2 linked regions of the Solanum lycopersicum genome follow. The protein of the gene in region 1 binds, or shares a complex with, the protein of each later gene. Links are inferred from orthologs where the notes say so. Each region holds a gene or a part of one and is shown in the gene's direction. Other genes may lie near its edges.

What was found. Proteins that work in one complex are often made in the same cells at the same time.
Region 2: trafficking protein particle complex II-specific subunit 130 homolog (region 1) and trafficking protein particle complex II-specific subunit 120 homolog share a complex: the UniProt entries of both Arabidopsis thaliana proteins name them as parts of the multisubunit TRAPP (transport protein particle) II complex. The link is inferred for Solanum lycopersicum from reciprocal best matches to the Arabidopsis thaliana genes CLUB and TRS120.

The regions. Positions count from the first base shown.
Region 1 is NC_090806.1:68,363,662-68,366,304, forward strand, and holds part of trafficking protein particle complex II-specific subunit 130 homolog, read left to right. Parts: intron 1-159; coding exon 160-358; intron 359-611; coding exon 612-1,157; intron 1,158-1,247; coding exon 1,248-1,460; intron 1,461-1,707; coding exon 1,708-2,095; intron 2,096-2,189; coding exon 2,190-2,286; intron 2,287-2,386; coding exon 2,387-2,471; intron 2,472-2,643. UniProt on the Arabidopsis thaliana protein: Specific subunit of the TRAPP II complex, a highly conserved vesicle tethering complex that is required for the proper transport of proteins in post-Golgi trafficking pathways to the growing cell plate in mitotic active cells.
Region 2 is NC_090805.1:43,730,619-43,732,991, forward strand, and holds part of trafficking protein particle complex II-specific subunit 120 homolog, read left to right. Parts: intron 1-791; coding exon 792-1,669; intron 1,670-2,373. UniProt on the Arabidopsis thaliana protein: Specific subunit of the TRAPP II complex, a highly conserved vesicle tethering complex that is required for the proper transport of proteins in post-Golgi trafficking pathways to the growing cell plate in mitotic active cells.

The DNA.
Region 1 (2,643 bases):
ACTCTTTTGACTAAAGGATGTTTTCCTGAAGCCATATAGTAAAAAATCTAAAATTAGATTAGAACATTGGTGTTAGTTTCCCTAAGAGACTTCACATTTTCATATGTTCTGTTGTAACCTCAAAGGCTGAGATCTTACTTTGTCGTCATCTGGTGACAGCTCAGGTTCAACGTCTTCACCAGCAAAATCACAGTCGATATCAATGTCAAGAACTAACTCTTCTCCTGGAAACTTTGAGAGCTCAATGAGCCGACCTTTGAGGCTTTCAGAAATTTGTGTTGCTGCTGAACATGCTTTGCGGAGTACAATTTCTGATGCAGAACTGTGGAAATCATTGTCTTCTGTCCAGGAATTTGAGGTTCCTATCTTCTCTCAGGGCTATATGCGTACCTTTGAATAGTAATGGTTCTTGGAATACAGTTCTGTATACTACTTGTGAATAGGCATGATACCACTAATTGGAGTTCTGCATATATTTTATTTAATTGCTTGTGAATTGGACACCTTGACATGCATTATTCAGCAGCAGATAATCCTTTGTATTTATGTAGAGTCATGTTTTGTTTTATATTCTTCATTCTTTATGCAATTCTAATCAGTTTTAATCTCAGCAAAAATACCTGGAGCTGTCAAAAGGAGCTGCCAACAACTATCATCGTTCATGGTGGAAGAGGCATGGAGTTGTACTTGATGGTGAAATTGCAGCTGTGTTCCATAAAAACAGAAATTATGATCTTGCTGCAAAATTGTATGAAAAGGTTTGTGCTCTTTATTCTGGTGAAGGATGGCAGAATCTTTTAGCTGAGGTCCTTCCCAATTTAGCTGAGTGCCAAAAGGAACTTGGTGATCAAGCTGGCTATCTATCTTCATGTGTAAGATTGCTCTCATTGGATAAAGGATTGTTCTCCAGCAAGGAACGTCAAGCATTTCAGTCTGAAGTGGTTCGTCTTGCTCATAGTGAGATGGAGAACACCGTGCCTCTAGATGTGTCCTCACTGATAACATTTTCTGGCAATCCTGGACCACCACTGCAGCTTTGTGATGGAGATCCTGGTACGCTCTCCGTCGTTGTATGGAGTGGATTTCCTGATGACATTACTCTAGAATCACTTAGTCTAACTCTCACAGCCACAACTAATACCGATGAGGGTATTAAGGTATTCTGTTTACTCTCTATAGCATCTCCTCAAGTAGTTTTTAGAAACTGCATCTTCTAGTGCAATAAGCTTTTATGAGCTTTTTCTCAGGCAATAAAAAGATCCGGTGAGACGATATTAAAGCCTGGAAGGAATACAATCATGATCAATTTACCTCCGCAGAGACCCGGTTCTTATGTTTTGGGGGTTCTTACAGGGAAAATTGGTTTACTAAGTTTTAGATCTCACAGCTTTTCAAAGGGTGCTCCTGCAGATAGTGATGATTTTATGAGTTATGAGAAGCCAACAAGGCCAATCTTAAAGGTAAAGGATCTTTTATATAAGTGGAGAGACGAAAAAATGAATTGTGAAGGCTGGGATGTGTATTCCACAAGGAAGAGTGCCATCCTTCGTTTCTATCCTCAAATATTCTTATTGATTCTTTTGTATGCTAATGCTCTACAATTTATTATACAGACTGATTATCTGAAATCTTTCTCAAAAAGAAAAATGATCTTTCTCAAAATGATTATCTGAAAGGCCTTCTATATTTCTTGAACTTTTTTGAAAGGTGTTCAAGCCAAGGTCTCTGGTTGATCTTACTGCTGCTGTTTCATCTGCTTTATTGATGAATGAACCTCAGTGGGTTGGAATAATTGTGAAGCCAATTAGTTACTCTCTCAAGGGTGCAATTCTGCACATAGACACTGGTCCTGGGTTGACTATTGAAAAATCTCATAATATTGAAATTGAGAGGCACGTAATTGGGCGCACAGATGAGTTAGACCATTCTGAAGGTTTTAAAGATGATGACAGTTCCGCAGCTACTCCCGAAGTTAAACAAATGTCTCTTCATGATGGAAATATTGAGCTGCCTGATTGGGCAAGCAACATAACTTCTGTTTTGTGGATTCCTGTGCGTGCAACCAGTGATGAACTTCCTAAAGGTGCTCCTGCAGGTGATGATTAATAAACTAGTGGTGGTTTAAACAGCATAGTCACAGCTCCATAAATCTGTTTTTTCACTTCCTAAACACCTGTTTTACCTATCAGGTGCAGTTGCTCCGCAGAGACAGAACCTAGTGGAGGGACTGAGAACAATAGCTTTGAAACTTGAATTTGGGGTGTCACGGAACCAAATATTTGAAAGGTTAACCTTCCCCACTTTTCATTTCCTACTTCTAATTTTTGGCACATTTTTATGCATATTCTTGTCAGTAAGACTAGTCTGGAATCTAACTTCTTTGCAGGACAATTGCTGTGCACTTCACTGACCCCTTCTCTGTAAGTACACGAGTTACGGACAAAAGCGCTGATGGAAAATTGCTTTTGCAGGTAATCTTTTTCTGCCACTAATGTTTGGTGGTGACTTTTTGGGTGGATGGGGCGTGGGGGTGAGCAGTTACAGGCTAGAGAAGTCATTTTCTCTGTTGATCAGTTGGTTATTTATAAGTATTTTGGATGTCAGGAGTATGTAATAGAAATAGAGAAGAAAAATAAGTGACAA
Region 2 (2,373 bases), on another chromosome or scaffold:
AAAGGAGGAAATAGGTAGAGTAAATGAACTGAGCTTACCAATTCAGAAAGATGTAACGATATGGTAGTTGTCTTTGTTGCTTCATTCTTTTCAGTTTCCAATCCAAGCATCCATGTATATGTAAATTTTGAGTGAAATGTTCTATGCTGAATCAGAAGTATGTTGGTGATGCTGGTATTTCTTCATGGTTTATTGTATTAGACACTGCTAACTAGATCTTGCTTGAAAGATAATCAAATTGCCTTTGTAAAGGCTGGTTGTACTTCAGCGTTTATTGTATTGCACATTACTTACTAGATCATGCCTGAAAGATGCTCAAATTACCTGTTTGAAGGCCAATACATGTATTGACCATATCTTCAGCATATAGTTAGGAGTTTACTGATAAGCTCATAAAATCAGAAGAATTCTAATTCCATCAGGAATAACCTTTTTTTTATCATAAGAACTATTCTTTTAATGTATTCCTGTAGCTAACATACTATTACTAATGGTGGTAAACTTGCAAAAGACTATTTGGAACTTCTTTCACTAGTCTCTCTAGAAAGAAGTAAATTTAATCTGGTTCGATCTTCATAGTTCCTTCAGATTTTACTATTATTAGTTTTGCTGTTTCAGAATGATCTTCCCGCATACTGATACTCTAGATTTTATGGTATCTGCAGTTGCTGGCTTATTTCTTTCCTCAGACTGATACTGGTTTTATGGTGTCTGCAATTGCTGACCTTATCATCAGAGTTCTTATTTTTGACAAGAACCTAATTTTCCTTTCCTTGATACATATGCTCCAGGTTGCATTCTTTTCCACTTCATTCCTCCCAACAGGATATAGTAAAACGTAATCATGGGAGAGATGATTGGTGGGCAGGGTCTGCTCCTTCAGGACCTTTTATTTACACACCTTTCAGCAAAGGGGAGCCAAGTCAAAGCAGTAAGCAGGAGCTGATTTGGGTTGTGGGTGAAGCAGTACAAGTGTTTGTTGAGTTGGCAAATCCTTGTGGTTTTGATTTGAAGGTCGATAGTATATATCTATCTGTAAATTCTGGGAATTTTGATGCTTTTCCCATCAGTGTTAGTCTGCCTCCTAATTCCTCCAAAGTGATTGCATTATCTGGAATTCCTACTGAAGTAGGTTCATTAAAAATTCCAGGATGCATTGTTCATTGTTTTGGTGTTATCACTGAACATTATTTTAAGGATGTGGATAATCTTCTAGTGGGAGCAGCTCAAGGACTTGTGCTGTCTGACCCTTTCCGCTGTTGTGGGTCACCAAAGTTGAAAAATGTTACGATTCCAAATATTTCGGTGGTCCCCCCGTTGCCATTGCTTATATCACGTGTTGTGGGTAGTGATGGTGCTATAATTTTATATGAAGGAGAGATTCGTGAAGTACAGATAAGTGTGGCCAATGCAGGTACAGTTCCGATAGAGCAAGCCCACATCTCATTATCTGGGAAAAATCAAGATTCAATCCAGTTAATTGTTTATGAAACCTTGAAGTCATCCCTTCCTTTGAAGCCCGGTGCTGAAGTGAGAATACCTGTCACTTTAAAGACTTGGCAGCTTGGACTTTTGGATCCGGATGCTGCTCCTAGTAAGAACATATCTGGAAGCACCGGGAGGCAAGTCAAGGATGGATGCAGTCCTGTGCTGCTGATCCACTATGCGGGTGAGCATTCAAATACTGATTGTTGGAGGTTAGGTGATAGACTAGGAAAATGAAACACTGTGAACTTGGGATGCTGCATCCTGGTTCTACGAACATATATTAGTGCAACAAGCTGGGAAAGTCCCTGCACTCTCTAGGGCCCCTCTTGTTTGTGTTGCTTTCCCATCAATTATGAGGGGTCCTTTCTTTTTTCTTTGTTTCCATATGACTCAGAATGTACACAATGCATGTGGATTTGGATATGGATGTTGATATGACTTTTTTTTAAAATTTTTTTGCATAACCACTTGTTTTTGCAATCTGAAAGAGTCAGTCAGGCTGGTGGTGAGCTTCTGCAACAACATGAGAATCATATTTGTTTAGAATGAAATTGAGAGAGATAAATGTTAGGGACCAAATCAAATATTGGCCATGAAATTGGGAACAAAGATAGAACTTACACCGTGGGTATACATGGAATATTTTTGTACAATACTAAAAGACAATGTAAAATGATGGAAGTGTAGGATGTCAATTAGTTGGTCACTAATCATGACATGATTACGTGCAGAGAGTTTTAGTTAAGAGAACATTCTGCAGCATGGGATGAGATTTTATTTGTTTTGACTTTCCGTTTTGTTTCTGAAATGTATTAGCCTCATGCTTTAGTCAGTCATTTGAGGTTCATGATTTAGACTGTTATTTACCTGCCAATTTTTTTGTTA